Drosophila melanogaster: one gene and its partners. The gene in region 1 interacts genetically with each later gene. Each region holds a gene or a part of one and is shown on either strand. Other genes may lie near its edges.

Region 1 (10,148 bases):
ACCCCCTTTTTCGACTGAAAACGCATACGCACCAACTAATTGAATCAAATGCACACGGCTAGGAGCGGAAATTTTAAAAACTTCTGCTTGGAAATGTCTAAAATCACAGAGCAAAATAAAACTTGACCGAGAATACACTTGCTGTTGAAAAAACTGCAAACTCACCAACATAAACGTTGCCGATAGAGATGGGCGCAGCGCATGAGCTAGAGCGGGATGCCGATGTTGTGTAGTCCCGTGGTGAAAACTCGGGAAATGCTGCCACGTCTCTTCTCCGCCACCTCGGCTAGAGTTGCCAACGATTTGGATTAATCGATTCATCATTGTCGCACAATGCTCACTCGATAAAGTTCACTATCCAGGTGATTTGAACTAAGTTAAATGTTAATATGTTTTACCCAAAAACACCATTTTTGGTGAACCCGTTGCTGGAAGCCGATATCCTTAAAGTGAATGTATGTACTTTCAATGTGCACAAATACGTATTTACAACAAAAACTGGCTTGCAAATTTTATTAACTGTTAATTCCTGGTTTTGTCAAGTCTGCTGCACTTGCTCCGCTGTTGGAATGGCTGTGCCTTACTCCCAAAGTCACCACTTACAGGGTGAACACTCTTAGGTGTTCCGTTGACGACTTTCGGAAAAAGTTAGAAGAAAAACTCGCCATTCGCTACGGTGTAAAATCTCCAAGGATTTACTGCTTGCCAAACCTACCCGAGATGTTGTGCATTGATCCGCTGGACTCACAGCTCACCAAAGCTGTGGCCGACTCCGAGCTCAAGGAGGTAGTGGTTGACACTAACTGCGGAGCTGCACTACTGCGAGGCGCCCACATATACGCCCCCGGTGTTTTAGCTATGGAGTCAAACACTGAGCGGGAGGAACTCGTCAATGTCTACGCAGATCTGGATGGAAAATGCAAGCGCGGGACGGTCAAGCGGTACGAAAGCCCAAATAAGGTTTTCCTGGGTACAGGCAAGGTGTTAATGCAGCGGTATCAGCTGTTCAACAACGCGGAGAAGCCCGCCTCTGGAGTGGCCGTGGAAATGCAGTCCAACGTCAGCGGAGTGCCCACGCTGGGGGATCTAAGCAGCGAAGACGGCCTGTTGCAAAACCTGCCTTCTATTGTTTGCGTCCGTGTCCTGGATCCGCAGCCCGGCGAGCGCATACTGGACATGTGTGCCGCTCCGGGTAACAAAACAAGCCACATAGCCGAGTTGATGGGCGATCGGGGATCTGTGGTGGCCCTAGACAATTCGGCCAGTCGCGTCCGCAGCATGCTGCCCAAATTGGGACACTACAAAAGCATAACGGCGCATGTTTTTAACTCCACCGAGGCAGTGGCAGCGGACGCTCCATCTGCACCCGTGGGAGAATTCACTGGGCCTCCGTTTCCATGTGAAAGCTTTGACCGAATCTTGCTCGATGCACCCTGCAGTGGGCTGGGCAACCGGCCACAGTTGTCCTGCAGCATTAAACAGGTTAAGGTCTTGTCCTCATATCCCCATATTCAGCGCCGGCTATTTGAACAGGCAGTGCAGCTCGTTCGTCCTGGCGGCATCCTTGTATATAGCACGTGCACCGTCACCGAGGATGAGTGCGAATGTCTTGTGGCCTGGGCACTAAGAAAATTTGTCGAGCTGCGGCTAACAGATGCCACTCCCCGGTGGGGCGGTCCCGGACTTCCGCTTCCCGGTTTCGAGGCATGTAAATCTCGTCTGTTGCAGCGCTTCGGTCCAAGCGGAGCAAATGCGGACACTGTGGGCTTTTTTATTGCGAAGTTTCAGAAAATATAAATAAATTCAACTTCACTGAAATTTTTTGTTTATTGGGCTCGATAATTTAAACATTCGTTTTGATTTGCAAAAGTAAGCCGGCTTATGAGTGATATAAGTGAGACCTACGCTAGTGGTATTTGATCAAGAAAATTTCAACCCTACGCTTAGAAAAGCATTTGAAAAATGCAGTCTGATAACATTTAGGCTTTGCTCTCCCATAGCTGCTTGTGCTATCTTAATGGAGATACATAATGTTATCTTTTTGTTTTCGAGTTAAAAAGAACTTAAATAATTTACAATTCATAACTAATGTAATTTTACTTAAATCTAAGTCCGTCATTGTTATTTAACGATTCTTGTTAAAAGCAAAATTATGCATTTCGGGAACTTTAAAACTTTCTACGACAAAGATTTACTTAATGATTTTACGAGTTGTAAGTTAAAAGGAAGTCAAAAATATTACCAATCATTGATGGGACCCCGATAAATGCATGTTTTGTTTGTGCTTGAGGAAATTACTAAATATGATGAGAACATCGATGAAGGCTTTTAACGCTGGCGGAATCTCTCACCTTGACTGCAGTGATAATTATCGTAAAACTGCTTGACTCCCACGATAAAATAATGTTTTAAATAAGGTATTCGCATAATTTATTTCATCGTTCGATGCCTTTTGTTTCCCCGGCGCAGCATTATTGTTTCGCTAGACGTTTAGCGTTCTGGTTCCCGGTATGCTTTCGCCAGAATAATATTCACTACTCGCCAAACACGGCTCTCAGTCAGTGCTGGTGCATACTTATGGCCAAGAGAATGGATTGGCTAGGACCAAACAAAAGTGGAAATGGGAAGAACCCACCAACGTCAGGTTCTTTCAATATAATAGTCTTAAGAACTAAGCCTAATTATATGTACGGATACTATTAACATGATTTTACGTTGGGATGTTGAGCGTCTTAAACTGATCTTCGTGCATCTCAGTCATCATGAAGGTTCCATCCTGAAGCAACAAAACAACGCGACGTGTACCTCCTGAAAAAAAACAGAAAATGAACAAGTAGTTAGTTTTTGAAGAATAATCCCCTAAATATTGCTATAATTTTCTATGCAATTCCGATTTATAAAAAAGCTACCCAATGTATAGTTCTGCAAGAAGAAAAGCAAGAAAATGCTATCGACTATCATCTGATAGTATCTACCCCTCGAGAAACAAACGCACTTGCGCTGCGAATATATATCCCTGCTTAATCATTCAGTTCTCTACGTTCATACAGACAGACAACGCTAGATCTGCTCGCTTATTGATCCTGATTATAAATAGAAAATATATACTTTATATCTTCAAAAAGCTTCCTTCTACCTGTTATGAACTTTTATTATTACTCTACGAGTAACGGATATAAAAGCCAACACAAGAAGCTGGCCTTGTCAAATTTTTATGAAAAACACGACTTACCCGGTGAAGGCAAATCTGCCTGTACCACCTCCGCTGGTATCTGGGATTCCGTGCCATCGCTGTCTGACGTCGTGATATGGATCTGAGCTGTGGGTGGCGTTCCCGTTCCAGCGGCAGAAGCCTCCGCTTGTTGAAGCACCTGGTGTTGCGCCAACTCCTCTTCTGTCATGGACACGAGAATCTGTTCACCGTCCGCCGTAGCTGCTCCGACGCCGTGAGACTCGACCTGTTCACCGGCTTGAACGGCTTCGGCCACTGCGTGGTCCAGAGAAAGAACATCCTGGTCTTCTCCCTCTGCGGCTGCCACGTACGCAAATTGCTGTTCTCCATCCGGGCCCTGCGTAACGAGAATAGTTTGTCCCTCCGCATTTTTTCCCGCTACCTGGTAAACAGTGCCGTCCTCTCCTCGCACCAGCAAGGCCGAGCCGTCCTCGTTGGTAAGAACTTGTTGATCGCTGCCCAGAAGGGCCTGTGCCGCGGCTTCTAGCTGCTCTCGTTGTTGCTCCTGCTGTTGCTCCTGCTCCATTTGCAGTTGGGTCTCCTCCTGACCAATAAGCTTGCCGGTGATTGGACACAACTGAGCTTGGTGCTGATGAATCTCCTCCTCCAATTCCATTTGCAGGGGCGTTGGCTGGATTGTTGACTTGGAAACTATTCTTTGCCGGGCAGGAGTCGCTTTCTGTTGTTGACTGGACTGCTGCTGAGACAGAGCCTGTCGCTGGCGTGCCTGGGCAGAGCGCTGAGCCAACAACTCTTCCCGGGTCACTACTTTACGCGTAACTTTCAAGTCCCCTGACTTTGACAGCTGTAAAATCTTTTGCTCTGGCGTAACTGCCTTGGCACCCTGAGGAGTTTGTACTTGTTGGCGATGTTGCGGAGTTCCGACACCGGCTCGTGCAAGGACTCGACCACCCGGGTGAGCCCGGCCGGGCGCCTGCTGCAAGTTTTGACGCACATGGGATGCACCACCCACTCCAGGACGGCGATGAAGTGCTGCTGTTACAGGGCCGTGGCCGGGAGTTCGAAGCGCGTGTTGTCGCTGGCCCACAGTGATGGGCGAGTTAGCGCCCGAATGCGCAGGACGAGCCATTGGCAAACGCTTGGCTATGCCTGCGGCGGGCGGCGCAGCGATCACTTTTTGCGGAACGGGTGCAGGCGAAACGGGTGCCGGTGCCTCGGAATTTTCAACCCGAAAAACGCCTCTTGTGCTGCTGCCCACCTCGGAGCGCGAAAGATACCGCACGGGACACTCTGGTTTCTCCTTTTTCTGCAACGAATTAAGATCATTGTTATTAATTGGCTGCTGCGTAGAAATAGCATTATTTCGTAATACCAAATTTATTGTGTTTGGCATCTCGGGCTTGCGAAACATGCCGGAGCTCGTGCTATCCTCAGTATAGATGATTTCACCCATTTTTTGTTCCGTTAGGGGCGATACCACGGTGGAATTGCCGTTAATTTTAGTCTGCTGCTTTTCCGTGGACTGAATCCGTGGCTTGTTCAACTGCACGGAGCTTCCTCCGTTTTTTAGACGCTTCACGGTATGGGACGGAAGATCCTCTTCAAGGTCCTCTAGGTCCATCGAGTCGTTTAACCCGCTCCCCTCTAAACTTGAGTCTGTATTGTTCAGCTTTCGCTTGATCGCTCCAGAAGATGGTGGCCATTCCTGTTCCGTGGAGGATTCATCTTCGTTTGCCGAGGAAGGCGAGGAGGATCCATCTCCGGCAACGGTTTCATTGACCCACTGCTTAAAGGCATCCATAGCCTTGGTCTTGGAAGTTCGAGATGGCCGAGAAGACGGCGATACCTGCGACGACGCCGGAAGTGGGCTGTGTGGGGCGGCAGTATCTGACTTTGCGTTTGTCCCTGATGACTGCATGCGCTTCAGAGCATCCAGACCCTTCTCCCTAGTAAGTTTTTGGCGTGCCAATTGCTTTTCGAACATCTGCAAAAAGTATGGCACACGCTCGAGATTGGCCATCACCTCCCAGGTGTTTTCATGATGCGAGCGATCAACCCACTTAACCAAATACTCGTGGGTCTTACGGCGCGGATTGAAGCGCTTAGCGACAATCTTTTCCACTGGCTCTTCGGTGCGCTGATCTGTCTTGGAATCGATCCTAATGGCTATGCGGTTGTTCGGCTTCACGGCTCCGGCAGAGGGAACTGAGGAAGGCGTTGGTGTACTCGGCTTGGACTTGGGTCTTTCGTTTTCTGTATCCTTTAGTTGATTGGCTAACGTAGGCAGCTTACCGGTTGGTGATTCTGTTGATTTAAATATAGTTTAATAACAAGTGTGACTTTTATTTAGAATGTTTTGTATTACTTCTGGTAGGGGAGACGCTCGTGTTGTTGTTGTTGCTATTTGATGTGTTGTTATTGTTTGGATTGACCACAGTCTTTGTTATTCGCACAGGCATGTCCTGGAGTTGTCCGTGTGCAATTTTGCCGAATGACTGTATGGTCTTCCCAGCCACAATCCACGGCTCGCGGACGCTATCGTCTAGTTTTACCCAATGCTGGTACAAGGCCCACGAGCTGCCGGACGCGTCCTTGCGCGAGTGCAGCTGAGTAGCTTTCCATAGCGTAAAAGCCCAGATGGTGGGCTTGGGATCGAGCGATTCCTTCAAATTTGCATTTTCCTTTTCGCAGGCGTCCTCTTTGTGGGCCTGAAACTCTTCCACGAAGTTGTAGGCCCGGAGACATCGTCCACATACAAGAACGTCCATGTTTGCCAATTCCTCCTGTGCAGCTGCAGGGCAGAACACAAAATTAACAATAAAAATTATTTACCAATGTTTTTAGTCACTCACCTCTTATAATGTTTGCGTGTTTGCCGATTTCCGTAGGTGAAATCTCCTGTGCCAACATTATTCACGACTCCAGCGCCCAAGCCTTTGAAGAGAGCATTTAAAGTGTGACTTAAAAATAGTGCTGAATGGAGTCTTATTATTTGTTATTGCTTGGTTTTGAAATATTGGTAAACGGCGAAGAAAAAGTACAGTGCCGTGGTGTGTTTGTGCTAACTTGAACCAGGTGGCAACGCGAACGGTCGCTGTCTGCGGTGTGTGTCCGATATGGTGAGTTCAAGCATATGTACATCTGCAATGGGCAAAATGCAGCGGCGCTTAGGCAGCCGAAAAAAAACACTAAGTACATTATGAAAAGAACGAGCCTGCCGCACTGTTGTAGATATATAATATAATAAAACACAGAAAAGCACGAACTATGCGTAATGCGACTTTATTAGTTACTTAAACTTATCTGTTACAAATGCATTTGAACTTCAACACAGCTAAAAATTAAAATAAATAAAACCCTATGGTTCGATCCTATTTGTTTTCATTTAAAAAAAAGGATTACATATAGTTTAAATAATATCAAAGTTCACAATTTCATTTTGCCCGCTAAACCTTGCAGGCACTAGATATAGGCCAGGTATGATTGCAAATAAGCCTATTCCACATATCATTAAATTAAAAGATTTCTCTAGAACACTTTGGTACACACCTTCATAAACAATTTTGGATAAATATCAAACTGAATGTTGTTTCAAACGGTTATTTTAATTTAACTGACTCCCGATTTTTCAACACGAGCAGCTCCACTGCTGCTCACAGTTGTACGCGCGAACTCTGAATGCCAAAAGCGAAATTCGGCTGCACGGAAATTGTCCAGAGATGATTTGGTTCCGGCTGTGCGGACCTTAGAATGCTCTTCTGTGCTAAGCTATTTAAATCCTAATATTACTGGGAGTGTATTGCCTGTCGATAGCTTTAAACTAACTGCAGTCCAGTAAATTTTAAGATTTCGAAGGTTTTTTCGAATATAGTATATGATATAAAACGCGGGTTTCAATGCTTGCACGGTTTTAAGTGCCCAAACTTAGGGTGTAGCGCCCTTTTCAGTTCGCCCGTGTGGCGGTGCACTTAGTTAGCCAATTACGCGTCGTGGTGGGTATATTTATTGATGTGGCAACTTTGGGCGCAATAATAATAATATTGTACTTTTTTTGTTCATATTAGGTAAGAAATTCGAAATTATTTTTTATTATTTCATTTTATTATGTCATTCTTTTGTAGATATTTATTGATATAAATACTTACCCAGGGTTGCCACCCAGTGTATTGTATTTAACGTAGGCCCTGTGTGTACACACTGTTACATTAGCCGGCGCATTTTATTTAGCGTTAATTGCTTTTCTTTCTTGATTTGACTTGGTAGTGCATCAGGACTGCAAGTATGGCCGACGATGAGCAAGAGGACCAGAAGGAGTACCGCTGGGAAACGGGCTATGAAAAGACATGGTGCGATGGTGTGCGTGACAATGTAAGCCCGCACTTACTTTTAATCCTATTAGGGAGGCCATCAAGGACGACGAGGATGGGATGCTGGATGGAGCCATTGCAGAGATCATTCAGAAGGCCAAACGCCAGAGGCAGGCTCAAAAGTCCAAGCAGAACCGCCTGGGCATGATGCGCCACATGTTCGTTGTGCTCGATTGCTCTGAGTCCATGAGCGTGCCTGATTTGAAACCCACACGACTGCGGTGCACCGTCAAGCTGCTGGAGCTGTTTATCGAGGAGTTCTTCGATCAGAACCCCATCAGCCAATTAGGACTCATAGCGCTAAAAGCTAAGCGAGCGGAGAAGGTGACCGAACTTACCGGCACTTCGCGCGTGCACCTCAAAGCGCTAGAGAGGTAAGAACCGAATCAAACCAGCGTTCTCCATTTATATCCCCTTTTTGTTTAGCTTGGCTAACGTGTCCTTGACCAGCGAGCCTTCGCTGCAAAATGGCCTAGATCTGGCCCTAAAATCGCTTAAGGTGGTGCCGTCGCACGCCTCCCGAGAGATCGTCATTATCATGGGCTCGCTCACCACATGTGATCCTGTCGATATTAACCTCACCATCGACGAGTTAAAAAAGGAGGGCATACGCTGCTCGGTTATTTCCCTGTCCGCTGAGATTCACGTGGCCCGCTACCTCACTCAGCAAACAATGGGCACCTTCGGGGCTGTTTTGGATGATGCACATTTTCGGGATCAACTCATGTCTCAGGTAGATCCACCGCCCGCCGCTAAGACTCAGCACAACTCGCTTATTCGCATGGGCTTCCCGCACACAAAGAATGAAGTTGAGGGCAAGGACGCGCCATTGTCCATGTGCATGTGCCACATAGAGAACTTGGAGGAGCCCAGTGAACTGACCACTACTGGCCACCACTGCCCGCAATGCAACAGCAAGTACTGCGAGCTGCCCGTGGAGTGCCAGTCTTGCGGCCTCACCCTGGTCTCCGCGCCGCACTTGGCGCGTTCCTACCACCACCTTTTCCCGGTGCCAAATTTTGAGGAACTGCCGTTTGAGGCGATGCCTGCTTCGTCATCCGACCTCACCAGCGATGTCAGGGAATGTTACGGCTGCGCCAAAGCTCTTGGGCAAGGCGTTGACAAGGTCGCCGATAAAGTCGTCTTCAGATGCGGTTTCTGCAAGCAGTTCTTCTGCGTTGACTGCGACATCTTCATTCACGACACATTGCACGCCTGCGTGGGATGCAACACCATTCCCGGCGTAGACGGTCTGGTTTACCAGCAAAGTTCCAAGTCTGACCAGGTTGATGCACACCCAGGGCCCTCAAAGCAGCGCGGCCAGTGTGGGATGTAACTGACTTTCTATAGATAGATATTTCGAACTTCCACATAACTACGCATTTGGGGCAAACAAAATACAGTTCGTTTCGAAACGGTGGTTATGAGTTGTATCAATTAAAATCTGGTTTTATGCTTAATAATTGTGAAGGCGAGCGTAGCATTATTATGGCCGTTGTGTGAGACCCTCTCAATTGTATTGCTAATTACTTGGTCATAGGCTCTCTGTGCCGCTTCATGCGAACTTGGCGCACTTTTGTCTAGAGCTCGCTTGAGTTCATCATCAGCGTTTGCCGCATTCGGTCGGGTTTAGTTGCGATTCAATCCAAAAGCTCTCGGCACCCACAGGTGTTCTCGTTGGAACTTTAGCTTTATAGATGTTAACCCGCGTTGGTGTTGTGAATTTTGAAGAGCCAGAACTTTTGTTCAGTGGGAGACCGATGTGACGTGGATATACTGCTCTGTGACACCATAAACAATTTATGAAGATCAATGACGCTGCTTTAAACTAGTATTAAACCAGTTAGAGGCCAGCTAAACCGCCACAACTGTCTATTACCTTATAAAGTTCAACATTTAATTGAAGATTCATAAGCATTCCGAAGGTCTACCATAAAAATCAAAAATGTATGTACATATATTGTGTTATTGTTATTAATAATTGGTTGTTTTTAAAGTTTCTAAATTTTTTTAAAAAGATAACTATTAGACTTATGCTTTTTGATTTTAGAGTTACAATACAAATTCTTTATGCGGTTTCTAAAAGATGCGAGCAAATGGCATCAATAATAGATAATAAAACATAAATAAAAGCTTTTAATTTGTATATATAAATTGGTCTAAATGTAGCTTGTAAATAATAGGTTCAAATGGTATGTAACTTGCGGCAAAATGCAATAGGATAAAAAATCAACAAAGCGAGCCGTGCGGGCTTTAAGATATGTACGGCTATGTATGGCTAGATCGGTAATCAAGAATGTAAATACTTTATATACTGTTATACATTGTAACTTTATAATTCCCAGCGGAACAAGACGTACTCGTAGTAATTTTATATAACTCCATATATCTCTTGAATAGCGAACAAGCAATGGCGATGAAATAAAAGATATTTTATAAACTGTCCGAATTGGATCCACATATTATTAGCGCTTGAGTCTAACATTCGCGATCATTTATAAGCCCATATGTGTTTTAAGGTATACAATTTCTATTTCTTTGTTACTATTGGTTCTAAAGTCTGTCATAGAATTCGTTAACTAAGAACT
Region 2 (7,180 bases), on another chromosome or scaffold:
TTCGTTCGGCGTTCCGTCATCGCGACACGGACACGGACTTTAGCAAACGACGACGCGTACATGGCCTCCACCAGGCCGGGGAACACACCACGCGCCCCAACCCTTCGCACCCCATCATCGACGGCCGCCAAAAAAAGCTACAGACGCGCAAAATGCAGCGAGCCATCCGAAAAAACCCCCCCTCCGTATGTAAAAGCATCTCTGTTTAAGTTTTTTTCCTTTGGCCAAAGTTCGCGCGCGCAAAAAGCACACACACACACACATGACACATGGGCATGGGGTATCTATGTACTTTGACCACTCGATGTGCGAATGAAGCGCGGTCCAAAAAGGGGGCGGTGGAATGGGTGATGTAGGCGGTCGGACCAGGTTGCCCATCAAGAAATAGAAAAAAATTGGCTCCAACTCTACGCAATGTCTACGCGCCCACACTTCGATCCATCCAGCCAGCCCATCACAGCCCAACCCCCATCAGTGCCGCCGACCCTTTTTCGAGCCGACCAACCACGCACGGCGTTGCTGGCAAGGAAATGCAGCTGCACCACCGCCTCCTGCTCCCTTTTTTCCCGGCCCCAGATCATTACGAGATGCCTCATCATCGCCATCGCCATCATCATCAGCATCAGCATCCTGGCAACGCACAAATCACGCAGGCAGCTGGGTGGCTGGGTGGCTGGGCGGCTGGGCGGCTGAAGGGCAGTTGCTTGCTGCACGTGCTGGGGCTCCAGGAACAGCTGCTGCTACTGCTGTGGATACTGCAACCCCCTCCCACGGCTGGCCATGTAAATTTCCGAGGCCTGGTCAAGTAAATAAAATGCAGCCAAGGGGGCTGGGGTGGGATGTGCGCCGGCGAGGGGGCAAAGGACTTCTAAAAATAAGCCGAAAAGAGACAACACAACCAAAAAAGAAGCAACCGCCTCAGTCTAGCTGCTTGCGGATGCGTTTGTGTGCGTAAGTGTGTGTGTGAGAGTCCTGGAGTGCAATTGCCTTGCAGCATTGCATCCTTTCGGCTGCACTCGCCACTCTCGTTGCGCAGCCCTCGCTCTCTCTTTCTCACCCACTCTCGCTCGCTCTCTCTCCCTCACTCTGTCTTTCTCTCTGGCTCTTTGGAGTTTTCCTTTTTTCCCATCTAAACTGTGGCAAGTTGGCGTCGACAGCGATGCCGACGCCGACTTCGCTGCCATCTGCTATTTACTAGTGCAGCCGTTGGTAAATGAAGCAGCCACCCAGCAACACCCCATCGCCAATACCACACCCCCCCCCCCCCCAAAAGCGACCAAAATCCTGCCCAGCCACCCACTGCCCCTTTGGCTGCTGCTATCTTCTAGTTGGCAATTGCATTGCCTGCAATGCACTTCTCCTGTTGTGGAAGCGGGGAAAGCCAGCGCGGTGCATTGCGCATGTCCTTGTTTACATTATGTGCATGCCTCCAAAACTTCGCGTCTTGCACTCGTGTTTGTTGCTGTGTGCGTTTGTGTGCCTGTATGTGTGTGAGGATGTAGAAAAGCAAAAAGTCTACAACTACAACTAAACCTGCTGCTGCTGGGGAGAGCCGCGTGCACACCAGCAACACGATGCTGTTGCATGTTGCTGCTGCAGCTGAACGCCGTCACCCGACGACAGGACACGAAGAACTTTGGGAGGAAGTGCCGAGCTCAATCGCGGAGAAAGACTTCTGCGATCTTCAGACCCACTGAACTAAGGAACTCCAAAGGAGACATTTCCTCTTAAATATTTACTTGTAGCAATTAATATGGTTATTATTTTGGCGCTTTGAAATAAACATGCTGTTTAGCTAAGTTACTAAAATTTGACTGCCCTGCTTTCTTTCGTTGGTGAAATAGATTTTGTGCCTTAAAAAGAGTATATCTTTGAATTGATTTTAACTTAGATGATAACATTATAATTAAAGAATGAACCTTTTCCTAATTTTTCTAATGAAAATCAATACTGCTCAATGTTTCACACTCATATTATCCATTTACTATTTGTCTTAAATGTCGTTCTCTTCTCGTTCTCTTCCAAAAATGATCAGTAGTTAAATGCTCACTGTTAATCATTTTCTTATGATCAAGCATCCCATAATAGATACTTTTCTTAATCAGAACATCTTTAAATTACCTAGATCTTAAAATATACGCTTCGAATGTATTTATTTCCCTTATTTCTCTATCTAAATTCTATAATTCTGAAAAGATAAATAAACCCCAATGAGTCAATGATTGATGAAAAGAATGGAGTAATGGTTGAAAAATGAATTTTTGATAGTGATCTTTACTTACCCTCAAATAAAAGTACATCGAAAAAATATCACATCACAACAATTTTTGATATTCCGTTTGCATTTAATGTTCTCTCTAAACTTTGATTAATTTTCTCACTAAGTTCCGTTTTTTTATGCTTCTTTTTTAATTTTTTTTTTTTTTGTAAATTTATTTTTATTTTTTTGATAAATTATTATAAGAAAATTTTGCACTTGTAAAATTTAGCGTGTAATTTTTGTTGCATTCATAGACTTTTTGGTTGTTTAAAAATTTTCAGGTAATTTCGTAGTTTTCGATTTCGAGTGTTGACTTCTGCTCTTCTTCGCCTTTTTTTTTTTTTGTTCTCTGGGGATCCTTTCCAAAATATTTGCTTGCCGAAATGCACAATACAAAAGGTGAATTAACTAAGGATCTACGTCTGAATTTGTAGAAACTGAGAGTGTGTCGGGACGATGACGAACCTTTGGCCGAGACTTGAAGACGGAACGGGCCAGACGATATCGAAATCAAATTCAGACGCTTGAATTTTTGCTCAAATCGGAATCGGTGCGGTACTGAAACTGGAGTTACTCAATCGTTTTACTTTATTATTTTGGTTTTTCGTTGGTTTCTGCTGCTGACGTTACGGACTGACTGGTATTGCCTGCTTATTTGGTTGCTTCTTGGCTTTGACTTGCTTTGTTGTGGCTAGTTGTAGTTGTTGTTTACGAACGAAATGTTGCGTTTGACTGGCGCTGATTATCAAGTGATTAATATTATCGATATTGGTAAAAATGTAACTTTGTCTATTTTGTTATTTGTTGTTGGCTGGCTGGTTTTGTTAGTTAGTTTTGGGAAATGAAGAAAAAACTGCTCTACATTCTAGTGCCGGCGCTTACATTGTCTTTGGCGCAAGCCGGCCGTGTGTGTTTTTGGGTTTTTGGCGGGTAATTTTTTGCACTCAAGACGGCATGGCGAGCGATGGCTGTTCGAGCCCCAGCCCGAGTCTTAGTTCGAAGGGCTGGCGGGCCAACGGGGCGTATGAGCGCCTGGGCCGCATTGCGTATACGTAGTGTGTTCCAGGCTGGGTGGTGTAGGTGGTACGTACATAGGTGTCTAGTCTTGCACTTCAAGTCATTTTGCACACACTTTCACTTTCACATTCACTTGGCACTTTTTTTCGTTCTCCTATCGTTTCTCTGCTTCGATGTCTCTCTTTTCTATTTCTATTTGTTTGTTTGTTTTTCTTTTGTTTTTCGGTATTTTTCTGTTGTAGAGTTTTTTCTTGGGGTGGCTAACTGCTTCTGCTACTGCCTCTGGGTTTGATTTATGCAGATGCGAAGAAGTCTGCGAGAAGTGGCGACCTGCCTGCCGACTGCCTGCCTGCCTGCCTTGCACTGCCTACTGATGTGCCTTGCCTGCTGTCTGCTGCCTGCTGCTGCCTGATCCTGGCAGCACGGCTCAGTTCGATTCAGGACAGGCCAGGACAGGGAGACAGCGAGAACCCGAGGAGCAGAAAAAAGCGCCGCAACTTGTTTCGCGTTTAGCAGTTTTCTGTTGCAATGTCCTGGCAAAAATTGCTAACGATGACGGGCCCCAGAGTCACAGAGCCAAAGCCAAAGCCAGAGCCGCTGTCGATGTCGATGGCGTCGTCGCTGCAGCGCGTTGATTATGAGGGACGCCAGCCCCTCGGCCGCTGATGCTAACGCTGATGGAGTAGGATGATGCGGATGTGGATACTTGGATACGTGGATACGGATGAAAGTGGCCGCTGGCCGGGCGCGAAACGCGCAAAAAAATTCCGCGGCTACGTCGCAGCTGCAGCGCCAACCGAATTGTCCTCGTCCTTTTTGGTTTGGCTTTGGCGCAAAAAATTGCTGCGACTGCGACGTCAGCGCCGCTCCTAGCTGCTAGTGTACATATACATGCAAACCTCGCACACAACCACAAACACACACACACACCCACTAGAACAGTGGGCGCACATATGCATTGCTGGACAAATCCAAAAACACAGAGAGAAACAGACAGCAACGCGCGCTCAGTCGCGAAAAATCAAAACAAAGCGCGACGACAGCGGCAGCGGCGTCCTCGCCAATACATGCACACTGCGAGAAGGACACGGACAATGCACATATCGCACACACACACGCTGGCATGCTGCCCCACACTCTTCACACTTTCAATCAAGAGCAAAACGCATTTTGCTGCGCCTAAAAATCAAACAACGCCAAAAAGTATGGAACACCCAAACCCCCAAACGACTGATGAGGTGGTTTTTGGACTGGGCAACTGCGTGGTGGTCTGTTTCGCTGACTGGGTGGCGAAAAACTGCAGCTATCGAGCCTAAGTGTACCTAAAACCCAGCCCCTTTTCCCGCCAGATGGACCATACCATTTCGCAGATACAGATACATCTGCAGGGAGGTAGTGTGGCAGCTGTGGGAGCTGTTGCTCCTGGCTGTGCACTGTTCATGTGCCCCATCCGTCCATGCATCCATACATCCCATCCGCACACCCACCAGCCGACAGGACCCGCCATGTGGCCATGTTTTGTTTTGATTTCGTGCTTCTCACACACATCCATATGCGGGGAAAATGCAATTTTTTCGTTTTCATTTGCAATGCCAAAGCAACAAAATGAAAATCGCAAAAAAAGAAGAGGGAAACCTGAAAGCAAAAAATAAAGCAAAACCCTAAGCGAAACGTAAAAGTTTTCTATGTTGCCCCTGCGCGAATGCAACACACATTTTTTTCCTATTTTATTTTGCCGCCATTTATGGGTGTTGGTTATTGGCACTGGTATTGGTATATCGTCAGAGTTGGCATTAAAATATCCAGCAAAGAAAACTGCAGCTGAAAAAAATGTAGAGCGTCGTCCGCACTCATACCCCGCCAAAAAGGATCCGCGACAACAAGAGCAACAATAATAGAGCCAGCATAAATTCCTACTAACTCATGCACATGGGGGTTCTGGGAAAGCGCATCAAAAAAGCGGAGAAAAATTGGTGGGCGAGTGCAGCGACAGCCACTGCAATTCTCTATGTACGTGCTCAGAGATATATGTGTCCATATATATGTACATATATATATGTATATATATATTATATATATGTATATCAGTGATATATAGACGAGGAGGCACAGATCGGAACTAGGCAGCGCCTGCATTTAATCCTACGCATCGCGCTCGTTACTCATACGCCGCGTATTCCCGGAAATGGATAGAACGCGGGCACAGGTCTGGGATGGCGCAGTTTAGGCCGGATAGGAACAGCAGCACCCACAATCTCCACCCAGTACATGAAGTTTATGGCTTTATCGATGGCATTGGCTATTGACTTTGCCACTGTGCCCGTTCTGCTTTTGCTTCGGGCTCGATATGGTTTTGGTTTGGTTTGCTATGGTTCGGTATGGTTTGGTTGGCCTTCGCAGGATATCAGAGAGAAATTGGGAATGCTGCTCATAAAGAGATTGCCAGATAGCTTATGGATTCATAAGTTGTTATGCACAAATACAAAGGTGGTGGCGTGCAGTAGGCCCACTGCCACCAGCTGCGGTTTCCAACTCCCTGCCCAACGAGCCATCAGTCCTGTCCATCCTGTCATCATTAATTAATGAGCTCGCGGACCGCAGCAGGCAGCTGATGACTATGCGCAGAAATCATATTAAAAGTCGAATAGACCTGGAATTCCTAGGGCATTTCGATTTCAACCGATTTAAATAACTGATCTACATATGCAAGTTACATCAAATTATATGCATTCCCTTAAGGCATTGCTCGCTTGGCTTGCTACTTAAAATTACGCTTTTAATGCAGCAAAGAACATATCCATATAACCAGATATATATATGATCTGAAAAAGTATTTCGCTCAGCATGGGTTTTAATTAAGCATATATACTTTTTTGAGGTTCATATGAGCATATCGAATGCATCAACATTGGTTTATTTAAACATACAATATTCACATCCCATTTTTGAATGATTACATAAGCCTGCCAACATAAACAATTGTTGTATCAAATTGTTACTATCTGGTTTCTAATCAGTCATCAGCTTACCCCCCATCCCCCCTTTCCACTTCTAAACCAACTGCGATCTTCATTAAATTCGCATTATGCTGCCGTTCAATTAGTTGAGAGCAATTCGATAGCAAATTAATGGACGTGCAAAGCTGGTCGCGGCCCGAAAAGCATCAATTATGCGCTCGCCTTCCATTGCAGAGTGTGGGGGCTGCGAGGGAGATGCAATCCCCCAACCAGAATGCCCACATAAAGCATTTCTAGTTTGAGCCTTTTGTTGCTGCAGCTGCAGTTGCTGCTGATGGCTGATTTGCATATTCCCCAAAGCGATGGTGATGCTGCTGCTGCTGATGCTGCTGCAGTTGCAGTTGCATTTGCATGCGCTGGCCTTTGGCTAAAAGCATGGGTCCGTGTCCAGGGCTCTTTATATAACGAAAATATCGCCTAAAAGGCTGGCGGGCTGGCAGGATGGAAAAAACCCCCGAAAATGACAAAAGCAGCGCGGAAAATTGCGCGAAAAACTAAACAAGCGGGCGCAACAGGAGCAGCAGCAGCAGCAGCATGAGGCAGAGGTGGTAGGGGAAGGGGTAGCAGGATGGCAGGGAGGTCATGCATCGCGACAGCTGCATTTTGGACGACGACAACAAAAGTCCATTCGAATGCCAGGAGATTGCACCAGTGCAGCAGTTGCATCCTTTCCCTGGACACCCCCTCCCCCCCCACCCATCAAATGGGATGCAAGGCAAACAAAACCAAACGAAAAATGTTGCAGCAAATGCAATCAGCGATGTCGGTGAAAGGAAGAGGCTGGCAGCGGAAAGGGTCTGCCGCTTAGTCCTTTGTCTGCCGAAGGTCCTGCCAAGTGTCAAGCGGTACAGTTGCCTTCTGTCCGCGCGAAGTGTGAATAACGAGA
Region 3 (7,092 bases), about 12 Mb from region 1:
CTGTACGAGGATATCGATTTTACTGATTAAAAAGTGAAAGGGGTGAAAACTACACAGATAAAAATGAAATGTAACAATACATTTGAATGCAGTTTTAATTAATTCGTTATAAGACAACAATTGGACATAATATTTTAAAAGATTTTGCTAACTTTACTTGAGAACCAATCTGTATTTTTCTCTGTGCATTGTGTAATTATTATTGTTAATTTACAAAAGGGTGGGGTTAATGATACAACTCACCCCTCCCCTCCCCCACCATTCTAGCAGCACCCGTTGCCGTGACGATGTTCTTGTGATAATTAACAGCAAACAACAAACACAGCTCACCTATCAATTTGAAGGCAATTATCCAGGAGGCTAACTCGTTGCCCTATCTTTATGTACATACCTACATACATACATATGTATCTATGCTTGGCAAGTTGCATTGCCAAGTTCAAGTAAATAAATTGCCTAGAAACAACAACCAACCGTTTATGCAAACAAGCATGTTTGTGAGTACAGCAAACGCTCGCAAACAGCGTTGCACGCACATTTGTACAAACAACTGACATGGTCACGACTGCACGGCGATGACGAAAAGTGGCACAGTGGTTCCATATGATATTATGAAAGATATAAGCCAGATATAAGAACTATTTAAGAAATAATACTACATCTTAATTATCGAGATAGATAGAAACTTTGATGAATTGAATTTTAATCGAAACTAGAGAAGGTTTAGTTTTTATCTAGATTTATTTTATTCGATTTATAAACAGCTGTTGTGAAAACCTCTTGACAAAAACGTTTACTTCAAAAAGGTGTTACTTTCCACACCAAAATCCAGACCAATGTCCTCAGTAAATAATATTTATTTAAAAATGCAACCGAAAAGTGTCAAATTTAACAAATAACAAGCAGCAACAATAGGTTTTCGACCCACGGTTATCAAATTAGACATTTGGGTGGTGGATATTCTGTCTGCTTTGTGTATATGTATGTAGAGTGTGGTGAGAGGTGAGTACGGCGAGGTTGGGCGATTTCAGGGGAGGTCAGTAGTTTTGGATTTGGCCCAAAGAGCGAACAAAGCCGGGTTGAGTTTTCTGGGTAATCGTGTCAAGGTTAAATGCATGTGCTCCACTTTAACAAAGAACGATAGAGACGGCACTTCATCTGGCATTGACCAGCCACCCTCTGCCGACATTTCAATAAAACCTTGAGACATCCACCCGGTTAAAGTTATCAATTATTCCACCACACTACCATGTTTGATAAGCTCTGTGGCAGCTGCCTTAAAATGGCATGAAATATTCACAGGGAAGAAGTTGCGGTTTAATTTGATATGGACGGAATTATTAAACTATCATATTTAACATAAGTACATCCTGACCTGCAACTTGTAACAAATTTTCTTATCTAGCTTGTGCTTGCAGTTGGCCCGGTCTTCTTTATCACTATCATTGAGTGGAATGACTCACCGTAGTATTTCAGATCGGTGACCGCCTCCAGGTCCCGTTGATGGGCCTCATTGTCCAGATCAAGGGGTGTACTATTGCTGGTGGGCATGGCGTAGGAGGGCGTGGTCGACGAGGAGGCCTTCGAGGCTGCTGCTGCCGCTGCTGCAGCCGCCGCCGCCGCCGCTGCAGCTGCATTGTTGGACTTGGCCTTGGACAAGCTGGAGCTGGATTCATCGATCTCTATCCCGTTCGGCTCATCCTCCTCCATGTCCTGGTCGTAGTACTCCCGCTCGGGATCGCGTCCGTCCTCGCTCTCCGCATCCGATATGCAAACAATATCCGCCACATTTGTGGTGGGCGGGGATGGAGGTGTGGGCGGTGATATGGTCTCGCGGTAAGTGTAATCCCTTGCAGATGCTGAAGTGGTCTTGCTGCTGCTATTGGTGTACTGACCGTTGGTGGCACTGATGCTGTTGTTGTTATTGTTATTATTATTGTAGTTCAAGGTCTTTCCAGAACCAGAGCCGGATCCCTCCGTATTCAGTTTGGACTTTTTCCCATTGGTCATCGTTTCGGAATTGCTATTCTTTCGCGTTTTGCCATTGCCATTGGCTACCAGCTGGCCATTTAGATGATTCCGCACCATTTGATCTGGCTCCTCGTAGGCTAGTGACTCCGATTCACGGGGATGTTGATGATTCTTGAGGCGCGACGTACTTGTACCGCTTAAGATCTCGTAGTTTTGCTTTTGCAAGCGACTCATGGCTAGATTCTTCCGTAAAAGATCCTATGCCTTTAATAATGCTCTACGTGCTCCTCACGTAATCGATGGATATTCCAGGAATTAACAAATAAAAATAAAAAGGTCCAGGGACTGATCGTGGCGCATCGTTGAGCTGGAAAAACAGAAATCAAAGTAAAGACATTTTTTCGAAAATCGCTAACAATTTGTAGACAATCATTAAACTTTTTGACACATTCTTATATGAGTACTGACATAAAGTTGTCATTTTGGCTAGCTAGACTGTTTTATTGTTGTAGTATTTTTAATTAGAAACTGAATTAGTTTTTTCTATTCATGGATGTTCAACAATGCATAGACAACATGTACGATATAAATGTTCCAGTTCACACATTTTAAATACTAAATAAATAATAACTGAATTGTTGAAATTTATTCCGCAAGATGTTTTGAACATAGCTGTTTCTTATTGTGTTCTATTTAGGCAATCTTCACCGTACCTTCCCAATGCCCATTGCCCATTTCTATCCCATTTCTTCATCCACAATATGGTACAGTTTCAACGCAGGCGGGAGTAATTTTCCCGCTGTTAGCGGACAATTGGATGGGGAAACTCATTTCTGAATAGAACACTATTTGGGAGTTCGACTCACCTCGCGAAAGATTATAAGCGCAATATTATAATGCAGACGAAGAAATCCGAATCGGAGTGTGTGTGTGTGTGAGTGGGTGGATCTGGATGGGGAGGGGGAAGAGTGTTGGATTATGCGTGGGGCGGTAGCGATGTGCAACACTGAACGTTCCAATGATAATGTGCACCGATTTATGCAGCACTGGCGTTGGCTTAAATATTATTCAACCAATTCGGTTGCGGTTTCTTTTCATTCTTCTTTTTTGCTTGTTATATTATGCCGTGATTATCACAATCTTTATCAGTCGCGCATTTTTCACTTCCACAGTTAGTTTTTTATTTTTTTTTTTCGATTTCTTATTCTTTACCGTTCTCTTTGCCCACAACTACGTACACATATGCACACTCACACGCTGGCACTTTCTGTATCGGCTGCGTTTTTAAAGCGTTTTTGTTTTCGTCCGCTGATTCCGCTCCGGCGACTGTTGCTCTCGATTTTCAATGGATTTTCCAATTTCCCTGCGTACGCTTGTACTTGTTTTTCAATAGACAATACAGTAACGTTTTGATATTGAGATTGAATGTTTTGTATAATTTGTTTTGTGTTACACGAGAAGGTTTTTACCGCCGCTTTCTACTCGTTTACGCACACACACATTGAAACGCAGGACGCTCTCCGCCATCTGCTTTGCTCTCATTCGTGAACACTTATTAGGTACGGACCACCTTGATGGGAATCGCGTCGATTTCCGTTACACTCGATCAAATCGGGTTTATATCTGTATTATAGTACAATATAATACAATTAAAATCGAGAGAGCCCTAAAACGATTAATGCCGGATAATTGGCTATTTGTAATTTCAACACACAGCACACGAACCGCACGTAGAAATTTTCCCTTTGCTTTTGTGTCACTTACCGTAGCTATCGTTATCGATAGTGTTGACAAGAGGCCAAAAAGCGTGGTGCTGGAAAGCAGCCGTATATCGGTTGGCAGGGATGGTGGAGACTATCGTTTCAAATATTTAAGAATATTATATTTTGATTAACAATTATAATGAAGAATAAATTTAAGGAAAATGTGAAAATTTCGTTTATCAATAGAAAAAATATAAGAATTACCATAAATTTTAGTTTGGTTTTATTGAACTATTTCGTAAGCTGCACGGACGTAAATAAACCTTAAAAAGTAACCATAATATTTGACAAATTCTTTCTCGCCAAGTCGGGAACTGTGCATCCATCTTTCGGATAACCAACGGGCAGTAGGATGAGTAATTTTTCATTGACGGGTCGCCCGAGCAGGTTTCTCAAGGCTGGACCGCAGTTCAAAGGAGTGGTGACCAGCGATGCGAGTCCTGCCGCTTGAAGGGCACACAAAAGGATACCGGCCGCAATCGAAGTGGATATCTCGTTGTAGTAATGCCTCCTCATTCGCTTTCCATTCTCCGACAATCCATAGGTCTGCTTGAAGATCAGTATAAGGTACGGCGCCTCGGTGAGATACTCCTTGACATGATTGGTTTGCAGGGGTCGCAGATCGGTGACCCACTGCGGATGCATCCTCTGGCTGTAGTTGACCAGCTCCTCCTGTTCCACAATTTCCCGAATGGATCGCTTGAGTTCCGGCTCCTGTACGACGCAGTACGTCCAGGGTTCTGTGTGTGCGCCACTGGGAGCTGTTCCCGCCGCCCGAATGCAGTCCTCTATCACGCTGAGATCCGGTTTGGGATGGCTATTAAAGGAGCGAATGCTACGGCGTCCACGCATGAGTTCATATAAGCGTTTGGCTCCATTAGGGTTGAGATTCTGGCCGGGAACGAAGGGCACATGGGGCTTATCCTCCAGAGCCGGTTGCAGTTCATCGCCAAGATCGGCAAAGTGTTCAACTGGAAAATAGAATAGAATAGCTTTATGTTCACCGTGGATAATCTTAAAACTTACCCTCCTCCTCGACTTGTTCATCTAAATTATATGTTTTTAATACGCGATTCCCTTTAAAAAACAATCTTTTTACGATCCATATCAGCGCCAGAGTGATAAATAAACTTGGCCAATGCTTGAGTAGCTTGGAGCTGCTGATCAGTTCGTCCACATCCATGGTGCTTCAAGATGTAACTGCTTTTGCGACGGAGAGAAAGTGGCTTTGCTTTTGCGCTCGGATTGGCTTATCACTTGGTTAAGTGGGTCACGGCTATTGCTGATAGCGATGGATGCTGGTGGATGGGTTTTGGTTTCCACTTCAGTTGTTGTTCCGGCAGCAGTAGGTGCAATGGCTGCCCTTGTGATGCTCGCACATCCTCTGTTGTCCCTTTTCGTGGGCACTCCTATCCGACATGCATTTTGGATTCTTAAGCATCTGATTGGGCTCACCCGGTTTTCGTTTTTGCGGCGGAATCGGTCGGCGTGTATTGTTGAGTGGAATGGCCTTCTGGTGAACCAATTGGCGCTTGTGCACCTCTCTCAGAATCTCGATGATCCGCCACTTGGCATCGAAGAATATAAAATCGGGAGCAGTGGTTAGCTCGGTACGTATCATATCGCAAAGCATCTGCACTTGCTGGCTATTCGCGGATTCCTGACCGGATGGTTCCTTCTCCATCAAGTGAGCCGGTTCTTTGCTGGATTCAGAAATATCTGAATTTTGCGGACTGGATACGGAATTTCGCGTAGATTGTGGTGGTGTTTCCCGACACGGGGGTTCACACTTTGAATTTTCGGCTATCCAGGGGCAGGAAACTGGGCTTTGTGAGGATTCCACTTCCGGCTTGCAGGGACAGGTCAAATTGGTGGATACTAAATCCTTCTCATGGCTGGACATCTTGCAATTGGAATGATGATGACTGGTTTTATCCTTACTGTTTTGTATGTTCTTCTGCTCCGATGGAGAGAGTGCGTCTTTCTGTTCCTGATCCTCCAACCCGCTGATTTTCTCTTCTACCGAAACTTCATGATCAGCGACTTTTTCTGCCTCCTGAATTTCCTGCTCTATGGGATTTTCTTGCTTCGCATTTTCTTGATCAGGAATTGGTTTGATCTTCTTGTTTGGCCGGTCTTGGGGGTCTTTTTTGGGCCTCTTGGTTAGTAGATTGCCGGGAAAACCGGCCAGAGGAAAATCCGTGAAATTGGTCAACTTTTGGCACAACATCTCTGGGTTGGCTATCGGATTTTGCAAAAGTTTTCCGGCGGCGAGTGGGCTAGTTCCACTGGCAGGAAGATCCTTGTCGAAGTGTATATTAAGATGTGGCACCAGGAAAAGAAATTCATTATAGTAGCGAATTGAAGGACTCATTATCTCTCCACACTTCCTTCGAGCACGTTCGATAATGGTGTATTCCCGCTCAAAGAGCGTCCTTAGCTCCTCCAGACAGGATCTCAGTTCCGAGACGCTTCTTCCCGGAAATGAGCGCACCATTCTGTTGTAGCAGTCATCGTCGATATCTTTGTTACCATAGTAGCGATTATGGCGGTTGTAAAGGCTATTATGCTTGCTATAGAGACGTATAAGCTTCCTGACATCATGATCCTCCAATGAGATATGGTTTCCATTTGTCTCACTCTGATTCCTCGCCCGCCTGTCTCGTTTGCCAAACAAAAAAGAGAGAAATCCCCCGGATTTCTTTGTTTTCTCGATGCTATTGGGTGTTTTAGGTGGATCTAGTGATGCCAAAGCGGGCTTAATGCCTCCTGCTGACTGACTGTGGCTGGAACTGATCCTGGAGGAGTGGAGATGCATTGGCGTCACTAGGCAACTCGAAGCGGAACGCTTGAAGTAACAGTGCCTGTGTTTTGGTTCCATCCTCGGCGATCTGGCGCTTCAGTAGCGTCACATTCGGGTTCACCTCGCTTTCAACGGTCTTTGGGTTCTTTAATGGCAACAGCATTATAAATCGAAAAAATTTTGTACCATTATCTGGAAATATAACTTTTGTAATCCTGACTATTTTTTTTTTACTTTTTTTGGGGTGAATGTAAGTGTCACTGTGAAGTTTTTTCAAATGCTTGGAATTATATACCAATTTTTGCAAATTTCATAGACAATATGATTAACTTAATATTTAAAATATAAGTCTGACCAGGATTTTAATATAAGAACATAAACAAGATAAAAAAAAATTTTCAAGAATTTCAACAATTTCAAAACAACCACGCTTTTTAACGGTTTTTAACGAAATACTGAATCAGCTGTTCCTCGCTGAAAACTTTGCAACACTGCGCGAGAGAAAAAAGCGAGAGCAAGGCCGTGCAGTAAAAGAGCGAGCGAGAGCGGCCAAAA

The links. Genes that interact genetically often act in the same process or in processes that back each other up.
Region 2: of Chro (region 1) and pros, changing one suppresses a phenotype caused by changing the other (phenotypic suppression), as found in Drosophila melanogaster (one study listed by BioGRID).
Region 3: of Chro (region 1) and JIL-1, changing one enhances a phenotype caused by changing the other (phenotypic enhancement), as found in Drosophila melanogaster (one study listed by BioGRID).

The regions. Positions count from the first base shown.
Region 1 is NT_037436.4:22,871,892-22,882,039, forward strand, and holds Chro (chromator), read right to left. Parts: upstream 7,094-10,148; 5' UTR 6,743-7,093; intron 6,335-6,742; exon of another isoform or gene 6,128-6,334; 5' UTR 6,104-6,127; coding exon 6,046-6,103; intron 5,985-6,045; coding exon 5,559-5,984; intron 5,498-5,558; coding exon 4,566-5,497; intron 4,500-4,565; coding exon 3,233-4,499; intron 2,809-3,232; coding exon 2,711-2,808; 3' UTR 1,811-2,710; downstream 1-1,810. Other genes in the region: CG11109 (uncharacterized protein), read left to right, coding at 390-455, 544-1,797; Ssl1 (suppressor of stem-loop mutation), read left to right, coding at 7,475-7,539, 7,593-7,934, 7,987-8,896.
Region 2 is NT_033777.3:11,325,059-11,332,238, reverse strand, and holds the start of pros (prospero), read right to left. Parts: upstream 3,760-7,180; 5' UTR 2,283-3,759; intron 1-2,282. UniProt on the Drosophila melanogaster protein: Homeodomain protein that controls neuronal identity. As a transcriptional factor, regulates the expression of ftz, eve and en in a subset of neuroblast progeny and modulates the transcriptional activity of other homeodomain proteins such as Dfd.
Region 3 is NT_037436.4:11,089,435-11,096,526, forward strand, and holds the start of JIL-1 (JIL-1 kinase), read right to left. Parts: upstream 3,760-7,092; 5' UTR 2,838-3,759; intron 2,423-2,837; exon of another isoform or gene 2,339-2,422; 5' UTR 2,206-2,338; coding exon 1,464-2,205; intron 1-1,463. Other genes in the region: Iyd (iodotyrosine deiodinase), read right to left, coding at 3,999-4,705, 4,761-4,917; CG46439 (uncharacterized protein), read right to left, coding at 5,059-6,615. UniProt on the Drosophila melanogaster protein: Phosphorylates 'Ser-10' of histone H3. May regulate gene expression by establishing or maintaining the structure of more open chromatin regions. Also required for normal polytene chromosome structure, for oogenesis and for viability throughout development.